Linked DNA regions of Arabidopsis thaliana. The protein of the gene in region 2 interacts with the protein of the main gene of each other region in a pairwise test. Each region holds a gene or a part of one and is shown on either strand. Other genes may lie near its edges. The genes, in order: AT5G44090 and CPK7.

Evidence for each region.
Region 1: the proteins of CPK7 (region 2) and AT5G44090 interact in a protein complementation assay, tested with the Arabidopsis thaliana proteins (one large-scale study listed by BioGRID).

What each region holds. Positions count from the first base shown.
Region 1 is NC_003076.8:17,741,390-17,750,671, forward strand, and holds AT5G44090 (Calcium-binding EF-hand family protein), read right to left. Parts: upstream 7,137-9,282; 5' UTR 6,521-7,136; coding exon of another isoform or gene 6,371-6,520; 5' UTR 6,206-6,370; coding exon 5,951-6,205; intron 5,863-5,950; coding exon 5,623-5,862; intron 5,272-5,622; coding exon 5,166-5,271; intron 5,064-5,165; coding exon 4,964-5,063; intron 4,513-4,963; coding exon 4,407-4,512; intron 4,288-4,406; coding exon 4,197-4,287; intron 3,847-4,196; coding exon 3,705-3,846; intron 3,408-3,704; coding exon 3,260-3,407; intron 3,148-3,259; coding exon 3,038-3,147; intron 2,607-3,037; coding exon 2,450-2,606; intron 2,349-2,449; coding exon 2,223-2,348; intron 2,016-2,222; coding exon 1,875-2,015; 3' UTR 1,862-1,874; intron 1,723-1,861; 3' UTR 1,377-1,722; downstream 1-1,376. Other genes in the region: ckl7 (casein kinase I-like 7), read right to left, coding at 8,065-8,370, 8,456-8,589, 8,690-8,753, 8,846-8,931, 9,029-9,155, 9,253-9,282.
Region 2 is NC_003076.8:4,045,963-4,052,895, forward strand, and holds CPK7 (calmodulin-domain protein kinase 7), read right to left. Parts: upstream 4,682-6,933; 5' UTR 4,386-4,681; intron 4,094-4,385; 5' UTR 4,074-4,093; coding exon 3,558-4,073; intron 3,467-3,557; coding exon 3,343-3,466; intron 3,252-3,342; coding exon 3,108-3,251; intron 3,015-3,107; coding exon 2,862-3,014; intron 2,791-2,861; coding exon 2,675-2,790; intron 2,579-2,674; coding exon 2,411-2,578; intron 2,322-2,410; coding exon 2,088-2,321; intron 2,008-2,087; coding exon 1,855-2,007; 3' UTR 1,551-1,854; downstream 1-1,550. Other genes in the region: AT5G12470 (UvrABC system C protein, putative (DUF3411)), read right to left, coding at 1-39, 508-576, 780-1,328; NF-YA1 (nuclear factor Y, subunit A1), read right to left, coding at 5,185-5,388, 5,570-5,734, 6,046-6,117, 6,269-6,369, 6,723-6,933. UniProt on the Arabidopsis thaliana protein: May play a role in signal transduction pathways that involve calcium as a second messenger.

The DNA.
Region 1 (9,282 bases), about 14 Mb from region 2:
TTGGACTTGTATTTTAAAACCTTAAAATCCAATCGAGAAGATCATCTTAACAGAGTTAAATGAACAAACCTCTGTGGACAGCGATTTCTGGACACGTACTTCTTTACTCTTTTATCTCAGTTTACTTGAACTTATCTCTAAGTTTTTTGCTATCAAATTCTATGGCTTTTGAAAAGGAATGACCCTGTTCTTTTTGTAATCGATACGTCAGCGATCGGCGACTGATTTTTTTTTAACTTACTTGCGTGTAATGTATGTAGAGACTAACAGGGGCGGACGCAAGTGTATGAGTACTGGGGCACGTGCCCCATGCAAGATTTGATAATTTTGAAGTTTGATGTGCAATTTGTATTGGAGATGAAAGAATTCGTTTGTTGTGCCCCATGTTATAGTGATTTTTTTTCTAATCAGTTGGTTATTACTCATTATTTTTACTATTTTCAAGTAATAAATGTTTTCAGTATTTAACTTATTTTTCCAAATTTATCTTTTTCTATAACTCTTTGAAAGAATTATGCTAATACAAGGACACTTCAATTTTTTCTTTTTCCATTTACATGTCTTTTAAAAAATGTTTATATTGTATTTTATTTTTAAAATTTATATGTTAGCTATGTTGTGCCCCAGGTTAATTATGGTTCTAGATCCGCCACTGGAGACTAACATCATCATTCTCATGAAAAGAGTCGCAACGACTATAAAAGTGATCGCCGTTTAGTCTAGTGATGCCGACGATACCAACATCTCATGTAAAAGTGGTCGCAACGACACCCTTACTATTTATTCTCCGTTTTCTTTAGAGAGGCTTCTCCGTAAAGAAAAATACAGAAGCTACACGATCTTGACAAACTCTCAAATGTTTGATTTTGCAAGGAAAGAAAAAAAGTAATAATGAGAAGAGAGAGAAAGAGAGTGAAAAGAAGAAGCGACGAAGAAGAAGAAAAAAAAAGGAACGTGGAAAGATGAAACTTTTTTTTTTTATTATAATTTCTTAATTTTCAGAGATAAATTGGTCAAAAGTTTAATGAAAAAGTTGGAAAAGTGCTTCATCCGTGACAAGTGCCTCAAAAAGAATAAAATTCTTTAAAAATGTCTAAACGTGTCAAATTCCCTTATTTTTAACCGCCATAGAAAGTGAGTTCATGCTTGTTAAAACAAAATGCACGACTTTTTAACACATCTTCCAAAATATCATATTGACAAACAAAGTTTTAATGATTCTTATACAAACAAATAACCAATGTCGGCTCAAACCAATCAAAAACTGATATATAGTATATAATTTGATTTGATATTCTATAGTTTATACGAGAATTGTAGTTGATATCATAGGCACAAATTTGCTAATGAGGAAAAAGCAAAAACAATGATCATGTAAAACAAGTTTCAAGGTTTGTAAATTTCTTCCCACAAAAAAAAGTGTCTTTGTACATAGTTCTTTCGATTTTAAATAAAACCGTTGTTGTTGGTTCCACAAAACACTATAAAGCGGCGTATATAATAATATACATAAGATTGAAAGAGGGTCCAACCTGAGAAACCTAAGCAAGACAAATATTTCATGAAACTAACACAAGCTTACGCATCGGATAAGTCTCTTGGTCGCCAATCTCTAGGTGGAACCGTGGAATGGACTGGCTTTCGTGGTTGTCTGTCTGAAAATTGTTTCCGAGGCTCTTACCACCCAAGAAGATCTGACTTCTCCCTCTTCTTCCCAAGAAACTAGTAAAAAAAGCAACGAAAACGGCTTTTAATACGTTTAATATACCAAAAGATACAAACTTGTAACATTGAGCACATCAATTTTGCTATTTCATACATGCATAAGGAACATGATGCTGACCAGTGTTGAACAAAGTACCTCTTACGAGTCACTAAAATGGAGATTCGAGTGGTTCATCCCAAACATCTGCACTCCCATTCGAGACTTCCTCCACATCTTCCTCCATTGACAACCTCACATACTCTCTCTGAGCAAATCGGTCCCATTCCGTCAATGTTGGATTCTCACGTTCCTGTCAAATGGAAAACAAAGTTGGTTTAGAAGTAGCAGAGACTGGAACAGATACAACCGGCTGCAGTAGTAGGTGACTATCTGAACTTATAATAATTTTTGCGAATTTTTATGGCATTAATAAATATTCAGTAGTAACAGTTTCAACAGCTAAACGAAGGATTGAATAACCAAAGGGAGGAAAACTCTATAGAAAACCTATGTTTACCTGACGAATGAGAAAAGGGTCACGGGTTTCAAACGCCATGAATTTGTTCAGGTTAAAGAGTATATTGAAAATATTTCCAGAAAGTTTGGATGCTTTCAGATCCTGGAGTGTGATGCAGTTCTCCTTCTGAAAGAGTCATTCGACAAATTGATGATGCGAATAAGAGCAAAGGAACAGACAAGCCAGGAATATCAAAAGACCATGTTATGGTTTAAAAGAAATTTTGCCTCTGGTTTAATCATGTCGAATATTTGACATAGGATATCTTCAAAGAGTACAGGTTCCTGGGTTATACATTCCATGCGATGCAGCTGCTCTTCGTAGAAAAACTGCATCTCGTTGGGAGTGATCACCCCATCTCCATCTAGGTCTATGCACTTGAACCTGCAAAGATGGTTTTAATCAATATCAAGGGAAAACGAAAAACAAAAAACTGCCAAGAACCTGTGTTTAACATCGATGGGAGATAGATGAGCATACCAGCGAGGTATGCCCTCATATCAGCGGTTCAACTGAAAATGTTCTAGATTCATGAGATGATGAATGAAAATGTTCTAGGTTCATGAGATGATGAATGAAAATGTCTTAGATTCAAGATGGGTATCCTATGTTCATGAAATAATAGTACTACTAAATGTTTAGTGCGTTCAAAATATCAGGTAGGCTTGTATCATCAAGAAGGCCACATATGCCACAAGTTTTGGCTCAGAAGTTATACATTTATAGTGACATACTGTGAGCTAAGCAGCTAAAGGACAAAATGGCTAAAGAGAAGTCACTAAAGACAAAAAGAGAAGAGGGGAAGAGACATGTACCAATACTCAAGACTAGGCTCAGATGACTTATCCTCCTCAGCGAGAATAAAGTATGCAAAATCTTCATAACTCATCTTCCCCTCAACTTTGCTTGTAAATTTCCTAGGAACCTGAGTGAGAGACAGCCGTAATTTCAATTAAGAAAGAAGGAAACACACTCCATAAGATAACAATTAAGTTTCGAGAAAAGTGTTCATTAACATTTTGACAACTGGAGCCAACCTGTGAAAATATTCTGTCGACAATCCTGTAGGTAAGGGCATGATTACCATATTTGATGAGATTTTCCTTATCAATAAGGAAATCATGGTCGCCATCGAGTTCCCAAAATCTGCAGTATATCACGTAGAAATGCTCATAGGAGAAGTACCTGAAAAGTAAAGAAAAGGTCATATTGAATGGTCAAATCATGCATGATGTCTTGCCACAGTATCACAATATGAACTACCAATACACTTCTTCCTCTTTATGAGTTTTATGGGTAGTGCTTATGTCTAAGAAACAATTCGAAGACCTATGCACTACCCATATTACTCACAATGCTACACACCTTGCTGAGCTTGAATTCTTAAACAACTTAAAGTGGTCTTTATTATACAAATAAAACTAAAATCTTAATCTTTTTAACGTATTGTTTAAGAAATAATGAAAAGGAAAACAAAGTCACCTAATAACTTTATTGATGTCGTCTTCTTCATCAACTTGTTGCATGGCAGTAATAAGATTCCCACGCTTCAGCTCTCTAAGAGTAATGCAACCAGTACCTGATCTGTTTATGTAGTAAAATATTCTGTAGATGACGGTCTCAGCTGGGTTGACGGAATAGAACACAGAGATGAATGAAACAAGCACGGGAAAAATTATGAATTAGTCAATAGATGTATAAAACAGTAAGCACCTGAAAATATACTATATTTAAGAAGCATCTCATAATTTTCAAAATGTAATTATAATGAACAAGTACATAGAATTAAAATTAGAAGAATTATTGCCTAGGCCAATCAAGCCAGCTAAAGATGTCACTTTCAAGTTCGTCAATGCGTTTTGAAAGATCATATATATATGGAAAGAAATTGTACGAACGTCTTAGTAGAAAACAGACATTCTGGTAGAACTATTTCACACCATAACATCAATGTATCAAAAACCAAGTTCTTACCATATCTTTCTTGAAACTCAGGTGTATTCCTCAGGAATTCCAAGCCGGGATGAGTTGTCAGAAGCTCATCAAGAACTGGTTTGAAGTCAGCCTATCCCAAATCCAAAAGAAGACATTAGCCTTCAGGACTAAAGAAATCAAGTGAGACAATAATCATTGGTAAACAAATCAAAACAGCAGTGAAGAGCTGGGAAAAGAAAACAAAGAGACCTGTCTAAGGTACTTGCAACCTGGCTGCCTTAAAATATTATATATCTGTGAGGCTACGTCCATTGCCAACATATGTCCATCAACCCAATACTTGATAAATGCATCCCTGCAGGAACCAAATATGGTGTATTTAAAAGATACTAGCTAAACAGAAAGATTACAGCTGCTGTATATTTCTATGATATTACTCATGATTTGGCTAATTTAAAGATGTATCAATTCCAAACAATATCTACAGGGTAGAAACTTCAATATTACTTATCACAAATGTTCTAAACAATATATAAAATCGAGCACACTAAATTTATTGAAAGTAAAAAGAAATTATATTCGAGTGGCATAAATAAATAAAAAGATAACAATCAGGTATTAAAATTACTATGCCACATTCCATTTCTTTTAAGGGTGAGCAATTTATGAAACAAATAGCTGAGCGTGCATCTGGAAATCCAGACCAATGTGATCTATTATTATATTACATGAAACACATATGAATACCAGTGGATATATACATTTAACTACAATTACATATGAAAAGAAAGAACACAATGATTTACCTTGTAACGATACCGGTGCCACTCGTGTCTATCTTTCTAAATAGTACAGAGGAAAGAAAAGAAGGCAGCTTGCAGACTTCTTTAGTAATGGATTTGAATTCTGCAATTGAACAATAGCAAGAATGTGTTTGTAAGATCAACTGTTTGTCTATTCATTACAGAACGGGACTGTGATGTAAAAAAGCTTGTATTTAAACATCACCATCCATATGAAGTCCGTCTATATAGTTACTAAAAAATTGATCAACCATGGATATACATTGCTCCCTTAGTTCCTTCGCAGGTGGACGTCCATGTTGGAAGTAAAACTGCATAGCATATCAAGGCATAGAAGCGTCAAACAAGAATGTTGAACAATATTAGCTAAACCCTTCAACTATGTAAGATGTCAAACGGATGACCATAATAAACTTACTTGTTGTCATCGTTTTGTTAAAAAAAAAATTGTACCTATGCTACTTGAACGAAGAATTTAGTTTCTATTGTATTTGTTCTCGTGGTTCTCCATCTACTTAGAAAACTATTACAGTCTAGTTTCAACAATTACGTGAGCATATATAAAACAATCAAATCATGATGTCAACTGTCAAGCAAGGTAGTGCCTTCTCATGTTGTTTGTAAGACATCCATATGAGGAGCAGTTGGATAAAAAATCGAACCTGTGGAATGAGTTGGCGCTTTGGTTCCCTGACTGATTTCAGAGGAGACTGTAGAGAAGGGCTTGTCTTTTGCCTCGAGAAACGGGGAGACCCAGGTGAGCCTCGTGGGGATAGTGGGGGAGTGCCGCTGTTCAGAAAAACAGATGGCAATGCACTCCCGCAAGCAACATTGAGACTAGTACAATTTTTGGATACACTGACTGGGGTACTAGATTTAGTATCATCAATTAAAGACTTGACCTGCACAAACATCACACAGATGAACTGTTAAAAGAGGACCACGTAAAACCTTAAACGAAAAACAACCACCAAAAGTTTCTTCACCAACATGAGTCGGCAATCGGCATACAACACTGGACCATATTCTCAGGAGCTTTAAGTTAAATCTGGTACTACACAAATACAAACACTTCTCAAGTTTAGCAGAGCCTTGTAATATCCCAGTACTATTATCACCTAAGTCATTATAACCCCTAAATGTGCTATTCAAGCACTCTTTATCTAACACTAAGTAAAATCTATAAGAAATAAACAAAACTACTAAATATGCAACAGCCGAGGATTCAGTAAGAGCAATAAGCATGTTGAATCTTGCTCTGCAGAAATTGACTTGAAATCAGATAAAGTCACAACAAGGACTTACGAACAGGTATCAGCATATACATAAAACAGGCGCCAACTATTAAATGAACAAGAAACCAAACGACGCTAAGGAGCCACTGAGCCAGAGGCTTGGGAATAAAATTACCAATCGGCCAGTTTCAGGAAGTGAAAGCCACTGGGAGAAGAGTTCTTCAGCAATATGAGGATTTTCTTTAAGTGATACAGGAGACAAACCGGGAAGCTGCAAGAGCTCAGGATCCAAAATCTGAACATCGTTTCCACCATCGATTTCCATGATTATCTTCTATCTTATTCACTGAGAATCAGAACTACAACAAAACCCCAATATCGGAATTCCTTGAGTCAATTCTAAAATTGGATCGAAACCCTAATTTCTTCCAATAACTTGAAGCAGTAACTCCAAAACAGGATTCTCAGACTTTTCAAAGATCTATAAGCACGAAATCCAAAGAAAATTCAATAAAAGCAGCTCTGACCAATCGAGAAACTCTCTAACTAGTTGAGAAACACCAGCTCGAAGAAGAGAAACTAAACGAAAACCAAAATAAACGATTCGATAAACCCTAGATTCCCAAATTCTATCAACAAGCAAAACAGAGTCCTATACAAAACTTCTTCTGCAATTCAAGCACAAACGTGGAAGAAATTGGAAGATCCAAAGAACACTGATCTCTCTCTCCGATCAATAACAAGCTCGACGACGAGAGGAAGTCGTAGAGAATTTTTCCAGGGAGATTGTGTTATTGATGAGAAAATGAATTAAAAAGGAAAAAGTATTTAATTTTGATTTTAATACTCTCTCTCAGTCTCAGACGCAGTAGTACTAGCGGTGGTGGTGGTATTTTTGTTTTCCACTTTTAGTCCTCAACGTTGACCAAAAAGTCAACCAAATCCAGCGTTCTTTATCCGTTTTTGCGATCATGTTTATTTGAGTCTCGAGTCAATTAATAAATCGCAGAAATTAGCGATCAAATTGTTTGTTTGGTTGTTAAACTTCATGACGTTTCGACTGTTATCATCAAGATTGCAACTGATTCATTAAAGTCATAAAAATGTGACTTCACATGTGTAAACCTAGTTTTGAAGAATGATGATGAATATTTGTCATTTCTCAAAAATTGTATTGGAGCACTTGCTTTTTTAGTCGAAATGCAAAAGTATGTAGGAGTAGATCATATGAATCTAAAAATGAATGTATTTTATATGTGTAACTTCAATATGAAATTCAGTTTTGCCACTTTATTCGAAGATGAGCGCTAACAAAATGTGAAGAGTTTAACTATAACCATTCAAGTATACGATCAGTGAATAAGTAAACATTTGAAGTATGGAAAAAATAAAAATAAAGAGTTTTAGATTGGAGTCATCTAAAGTATGATTTGACTAAGTAGATGAGCTAATTTTACTATTAAGCCAAAATTTCACCGTTTTTACATGATTTGACCAGAGTATGCCTGCCCCAAAAAAACAGAAGCATTAAAAGAGACCAAAGAGCAGTTGATTGTTTTGTTTATTACAGTACCAGTACAGATAGGTTCGAAGTAATCGAATATACGGATAGAAATTTTACCGTTTTTACATGGAAACTCTCTCTACATTTTTGATTGTTATGTTTGTCTAACACATATCACGATTACATAAACAAAACGAGTGAAAAAGATCTCTGCAAGCTGAAGCTGAAATTACATGTAAAAAGATCTGAGGATTTCATCAGGTTCAAATATATGAATTCCCTCAAACCAAGATTCTCATCTTTCTTCAGAGGTAATTTCTTTGGGTTTTCATGGAGTTTGCTGTCTCTCTCTCCATCATTTTCCTTTATTTCCGAAGAGAGAGAAGCTCGAAGCTTCTTAATTGATCTTCCCGAGTGTTTCTTGCCGCTGTTGCACGAGAGAAAGACAGAGTCTTGGATTCATATCCAGCTTGCACTCTCTGGCTAGTTGAGGGACGGCCATTTCCACTGCCGCTGCCACCACCACCGCTTGAGGAAACCAGACGACTTGAAGTTCGGCTTTCGCTTGGTCCACCTGCAGAACTTGGCCGGGAGCTTGAAGCAGCAACGGCTTTCCTAGAAGAAGATGCTCTATATCTTGAGGAACTGTTTGCTCTTTCGGAGTCTCCATGCTGCACAAATAAAACAAACACAGTTAGGTCTTTGTCTTATTTAGCGGTTCTGATCAACAATGTATGTAAAGAGTAAGATTTTTACTGTCTGCTTAGAGAAAGGTCCGTCGTCTGAGTTTCTTGATCTAGAACGATCTCGAGGCGAAGAAGTTGTAGTCGGGTGTCTTCTGGAGAATGCCTCCACTGCACCTGGGATTTTATATCGGGTTGTTTCCTTTCCTACACGAATGGTAAATAAAAAAAGAGTAGAAATTAGAGTGAGGAATGGATGTGTATGGTTTTGAGATTTTTAATAGAAGTAGGAAAAGCAGAATTTTACCTAGGATCCTCTCTTGTCTTTCAATAGGATCTGCGTTGAATCCGGGTTTCGCTGTTGTATGATGCTGGAAAATCCAAAGATTTACATTTACGTAAGTACAGAGAAACTCAAAAACCATGAGGGTAAAAACACAAGTATAAGATTTTTAATAATCACCCTTGTTCGTGAACTAGAACCAGAGCTGGATCCGATTTGAGGATACTTTAAGACTGTCCAGTCAAATACATAATCGAATTGATAACCTGTAAGAGTTTCAACAATATGAAAAAGATAAGATGAGAGTGGCTTGAAACAGTAAGCGAATAAAATTTCTCGGAATAATGATGTTAAGATAAGAACCTTCTCGGATAAACAAGTCACGGAAAAGCCTCTTGAGGTAAGAGTAATCAGGTTTGTCATCAAACCGTAAAGATCGGCAGTAATGAAAGTATGAAACGAACTCGGACGGTTGGTTTTTACACAATACCTACATCGAAACATTCCAAGCTCAGTTAGAAAAGCTAGATTACCTACCAATGCCAAAATGAAAATCCTTTCGGTTTGTCAAGTTGTTGTAACCTAACCTCTATAGGAGTTGACACTTTTTTCTCGCT
Region 2 (6,933 bases):
AAGATAAACCAACATGAAATCAGCAATAATAGCCATCGCCTAATAAAGAAAAGAAAGAAGTAAAACAGTGCATTCAGCTTAAGTCCAATATCATTCAGCAGAGAAACATAGCAGTGACAAAACTACTGTGTATGTATTTGCCAGATAGTTCAAGGAACTTTGACTTACAAAGTGACAAAGCAGTAAAGGGTGACCTTTTACTTTTATGTTTCTCCAAATTTGCTATTGAACAGTTCAAATATTGGCTCTTACCTCAGAGACAAATCAAATCTCAACTACTTTCATAGTCACGCAAAAACATATGGTGAAAATTTGCAGACCCCATAACAACCACAAACTACCCTTAACCTTTCGTCTACCCGAATGGGTCACCTAAAAGATTTTTGTTCTCAATTTTCTCATCCATCCCTACCATCTCATAATTTCTCATAGTAAGTTCCTGCGATCTGACAAGGACACTTAAACAGAAAGTCACCAAAGGAAAAAGTGAGCAAGAAGAATGATTACCACATCGGCAAAGACAACTTCAAGTTCATTGAAGAAGTTTTCTCTACGCCGTTCATACTCAGCAGCAGTCTGTAACAAAACAAGCAACACATTATGATAAATATCAGCTTGCTCTGGTAGCATTTCAGAGAGAACAAAAGGTGCTCGATTTGTTAAGCAGCCAAGTCACGATTAAAAACCAAAAGCAATCCAGAAATCAGATAAAGAAGGAAAATAAAAATCGAAACTTGCAAGTCAAATTAGTTATCAAGTGAATAAGAGAAAGGAGAGACCTTGGTGAAGATTCCAACACCACATTCCATGGCGAGTTTAGCCATGAAGAGATCATCAGCCAACAATCTTTCCCTAAACCCACCAAACTGCATCAGCCACCGCATCACAGCCGATTTCTGAAGCTCCAGGAACCGAGTGATAACCGATCCAGGAATCCGACCCGCCTCAATAGCAGCCGCTAGATCTTTGGGAAGACTCTCCAATTCAATCCCAGACTCCTTCAACAAAAGCATCGCCTCGTTCCTGTTCCTATCCCTGTCCTCGTCACCGTGTCCATCTCCATCATTCTTACCTCCATCGCCACCACCACCACCACCACTAAGACCTCCTCCGTTGTTATCAGAGCCGCCGTTACCACTTGAAGCGGATAAAACAGGGGTAATAGGTACACGGCGGTTAAAAGAGATTGACTTTGCAGAGATTACACCGTTAAAAGAGGAAGATGAAGAGAGTCTAGGAAACGAAGCGATGTGAGGCCATGTCAGATTGGATTCAGAGATAGCTGTGTTCGGTGTTGGAACACAGAAGAAGCAGGAAGCGATTGCCATTGATGCTACAGACAGCGAGAAACGAAAAAGAGATCTTTGAAACTGGAACTGAAACTGAAAGTCGTCTGGTTCAGTCTCTCTCTCTGTAGGTAGAGGCGGACGATTGAGAGAAGTGGAGAGTCAGCGAAAAAGAAGAATCTTTCTTTCGGAGTTTTAAGGGTTTTTTCTTATTTTATATATCTGGTGGACCTCACTATCGAGAGAATCCAACTGGCGCGTGTCTTTCACGAAGCATCTTACACCATCTTATAAATATATGAATTACAATCACAAAACTCGTATCTTTGGAATCTCAGAAACTTGTTCGACATCATCATCAATCACATCGCTGTCCATTGAAGAACTTTTCAAACAAATTGAAAGCCCTAAACAAAACCTACGACCACGACCAATCTTTCTATCATTACCGTGTTAAATGCTTATAGAACATAATAGTTATTTCTTTTTGACAATGCTGACGCTTCTTTCTTCTTCTTCTTCTGCTGCTGCTTTTTCAAAAAGATTCAAACTTTTGTCTCTTGCTTTCTTAGGTCTCGCCTTCTAATTGCAATGAACCATCTCTCATTAACTTGAGGCTTAAACTGTTGAATCTTTCCCGAGAATACTGTCTTGACGCTTTTCTCCAATCTGTCCCAGCTTTCATCATCGCAACAAACTCTTCATAGCTTATTCGTCCATCCTGATCACACGAAACAAGATATCAAAATGAGTGGAGAAGTCAAGAATGTCGCGCGTTTGAAAAGATTCAGACAGCTTTACCTTGTCGGTATCAACATCTTGCATGATGGCTGCGATTACTTCCTCACTGCTAGTATTATCCAATTCATCATTCAAGGCTTCACGAAGTTCGTCAATCTCTATGTAACCACTCTGGTTCTGATCAAAGAAGTTAAAAGCTTTATGCAAGTGTTCATCATTCGCCATCTTCTTAAGGTGGACTGAAACAGCAACAAACTCGCTATAGTTCAGTGTCCCATCCCCATCAACATCAGTCTGCAGGAAACAAAAAAAAAGAGTTTTAATTTTCAGAAGTGATATAGCACTTGTTTCGAGCTAATCGCTCTGAAATGAAAGATTCATACAGCTTCCATAAGAATTTGAAGATCAGTATCAGCTATCTGTTGTCCAGCTTTTTGAAGTCCATATTTAAGCTCCTCGAGATTTATCTTGCCTCTCTTGTTTACGTCCATCATTTCAAATGCTTCCTTTATCCCTGCTGCTTCCTCCACTGACAAATGTTCAGCTATCACCTAGAAGGACGAAACAAATTTACATTTTCATTTTTGATTCTGAATCAGACTGGAAGCAAATCGATAATCAGTGACATGGTTTAACAGAATCAATACTCGTAGAGCTCGTTTCTTGAGCTTGTTCATAACAGAAAACTGCTTTAGTCTTGCTTTCACAGTCTCCCCAAGAGAGACATTTGGAGCCTTCTTTGCATTCAGTATCCAAGTATGTTCTGCAAATGGAATATTTATTTATGAGTTTACGATTTCAGAAAGCTCAGCCTTGCTGAAAACAGAAGCCTACCGAGAACTTGTGCAGCAGTAAGCCGTTTTTTGGGATCAGGTTCAAGCATCTTTCTCACAAGGTCTTTGGCGCTGTCAGAAACTCTTGGCCATGGATCTCTCTTAAAGTCAATAACTGATCTAATGATCGCTTGAGCCACCCCTTGCTCAGTCTCTGTACCCAAAAGAAAGATAAAAACGTCTGAAAGAGGTCTTAAAGTGAATAAGCCAGAGGAAACAAAGAGAATGCGGTAAAGCATAAACAAACCTGCCCAAAATGGCGGAACACCACAAAGTAGGATATAGAGGATAACTCCAGCGCTCCACACATCGATCTCAGGACCATAGTTTCGCCGCAGCACCTCGGGTGCCATGTAATAAGGACTTCCAACAATCTCATTAAACTGCTCACCTGTTACAGTTTAGAAAATTCAGCTCAAGTAAAGATACACTAATAAATGTGCTCCATTGATACTCATCAAAAGCTGATGTTGTAAATGTACCAGGTTTGAAGAATACAGATAATCCAAAATCAATGGCCTTAAGGGCTGATGTCTCTTTCTTATTTGCAAAAAGAAAGTTCTCTGGTTTGAGATCCCGATGCATCACTCCTTGCTTATGGCATATCTGTAAAGACAAACCAGCGATGTGTGAACATAAAACACAGACAAAAGGAATTGGGGACTTCAGACATTGTAAACACAGCTATATATGGAACCTGAACAACTTCAACAATAGTCTTCATAACCGCAGCAGCAGCCCGCTCAGTGTAATGACCTCTTGCAACAATCCGATCAAACAGTTCCCCTCCTTCACACAACTCCATAACTATATGCACCGCATCATCATCCTCAAAGGAATCCTTCAAAGAGACGACATTTGGGTGTTTAGGCATATGCTTCATAATCTCAACCTCCCTCCTAACATCCTCTATATCAACTGCTGTTCTCAGCTTCTTCTTAGATATGGACTTGCAGGCATACTTCTCACCAGTTTCCTTATCAGTACACAAGTAAGTTATACCAAACTCGCCTCGACCAACCTCACGTCCAAGATCATACTGCAAGGATATATCATGTCCTGTAGGATCTTTCAGCACAGAGAGCTTAAAACCAGCTCCAGATCTATCTGTTGTAGCGTATTCATTGCTGTAAAAAGGATTGTTTTTGTTCTTGGGTTTCCCTTGTTTACTCTGGTTCGTAGCCGAACTCGGATTGCCACAACAATTCCCCATCTAATCAAATCTCAAGGTTCCTGAAAAACCCAGAAAGATTAAAACTTTGAGCACTGTTCTTCAAGGTTCCATTAGTAACTTAAGCCAATAACTATTTCTAATTAACAACATATCCTAAATCAAACAGAACCCTAATCTAATATACTCAAACCAGATTAGTAAACCCTAGCTAAGATCAAAGACAAGGGAAAGAGGGAAAACACAGACCTCAGAACTTATAATGGGTAGAAACATTTAAATGGGTATAAATCAGTTGAAGCAAAAGAAGATATGTAGCTAAAAAGGATAAATTAAAGAGAAAAGTCATCATACGCTGTGAGGAAAAACAAATGCAGTGATAGAGAGAGAAGAAGAGAGGAAGAAGACGAGTCAAAGTCTTCCTCTTTCTCTCTCTTCTTCAAATGACAAAACACACAAATTGACTCTCTTCTTCTTCTTCTTCTTCTTGCTTGCGGGGATTCAAAGAATGACAACTCTTAATTTTTTATGTGTTTCCATATTCTCTTTCATATGCTCTTCGTGTTTTTTGTTGATATAAATAATCGATCTGCCCGTTGTAGATTTAACAACTTCTTTTTTTTCACTGTCCTTTTCAAATCTGGTTTATATGCAAACTTGAAACTTCCATGAGCAAACTATGCAACTTATTGCAAGCTGTTTTTTTTTTCTTTGCAAAACATAATGTTTAATAGGTTTCTTCTACTTTCTAATCACTCTCCTCCGGTCAAATAATGTTTAAGTTGGCGAAAACAGAGAATTTGACTACAAATCTGAAGCATTGTTATAGCCTTGTTAACACTTTGTGGTCAGAAAGGCAAACGATTAAGCAAACGTATTTTTCAATTTTGCAAAAGAGAAAAAAAAGGTCAAAGAATAAAAACAAGACCTACTTGCTATTCCTTAGTCTCTTGTCTCCAAAATCTAACACCTAACATAACTCGCTCTTTGTACATTCATCATAACTGTTAAACCCACACAATATGAGACTCTGACAAGAACAACTAGCAAACACAAAAACGAAAAAGCCAAGAATGATTTGCCGGTTTGAGGCAATGATTATATTAGCCAAAGTGTGTGTCTCTCTCTCCTCTCAGAGCTTTGGCTTTTTTTATTATGGTGCACCAGAAGAATTCAGGGTCTCATTAGAGTCTGTCTCAACTTGTTCAGAGCCTGATGAGTTGGTTGCTGAACCCCTTTCTCTGTCTCTCCCTCCTGCATCCTCTCCCGCTTCTACCTCACTTTTCTTCGCAAACCGGCCTCCACTCGCTCGTGCCCTTCTCATTGCATGCTTGTGTCTTGACTCGTGAAGATATGGCTGTCGCATTTCAAACATAGTCAATACAAGTTTACCGAGCGACAAACCAAACTTGCAAATTCTTAATGCTCATTATCAATCCTTCATATAGCATGGGTCCACTTCTATTATGGACTCTACACCATCCTTAGATTACCAGGACACCAATCAAGTACAATTTTCATAAATGAGAAAAAAATACCTTTCTGTCCCGGATGACTTTCCTCTCTAGCTCTGCCTTGGCACGTGCTTTTCTTCGCCTTAGAATTCCCTCGTACTGCTTTGCATTCACATAAACGGGCTCTTGTGCCATGTCAAGTGGCAGAGCTGTTCTTTCACGAGGCATTCCAAGATATGGACGAAAACCCTGTTTAAACCAATGAACAAAATAAATGCAACAAATAGACTCAGATCATCGAAAACTTTACATATAACTTATAAGACCCCAAGAATCCCCATTAGTTGTTCTCGATAATTTCAGATATAACTTTGGATTCTCAGTTATTTCAGAAATGAACTTTAAAAGCATCTCACTGACTATTGCTGAACCCAGACACATTCCAACAGTAAATAAAATCACCACAAACGGGTACTTAGTGGCAAAAGCGCACATACATCAAATAAACACTGCACCATATGGAACTATTGTAGAGATTGAAAGAGGTTTCGACAAGATACCAATTGCTGATGACCATATGCTCCCATCAATCCCCCATAATATGGATCCTGATATGGGTTTGGGACACAAGCCTGTAAGGAAGTTTTGAGTTTATCATACATATGAAAAGGGCGTTATACAAGATAAATCCTTTTGAGGGACCAATAAGAAGTCAATTTAACAGCTCAAGAACTCATAAAGCATATATATATATATATTAAGGAATGAGAGGAAACCACATACGATATAGTGTCCAACAAGCTCTGGTGGTTGTACAAGTGGCTGATCATGCATGTTACGGATAGAGAGCGCTGGGTCATTTCCTTCCATTCCGTGATTATCTACTGAAGTTGAAGAAAGACACCATTACAAACAAAATAAAGAAATCACAATGCACATATCAACGAGACAGAATCTCCTTGGCATGGATAGAACTATGAAACCCTACAATTACAATGCAAGTATATTTCAAGGACCAGATTCATGAACTTGACACGCCCTATAGTGCCGAATCACACAAATGCCCATTTAATTTCCCTGCCTGCTTGAGGAACAACTCTTCACCAAGTTGCAACATTCCGAACGTGGAACAACATCACTTTCGACAGTGATCACTAGGTCATCCAGTAAAACAGTACTGCAGAAATGATGAATATGAACAATACACCAAGTAGGCCTAAAGACCAAGAACTCAAACCTGAACGAGAGGAAGTTGCAGCTTGTGAATCCTTCCAAGTGCCATCGTTTTCACCATTCAACGCACCGTCTTCAGATGCTGAATGAACATCGTTTGACTCGGAACCATTGGGGCAATCCAAAGAAGAGGAATTTGATGGAATTCCAGAAGGTCTCGCTTGAGGTACAACACCAAAGGAGTTGTTTTTCCACCAGGGCTCTGCATACATCAT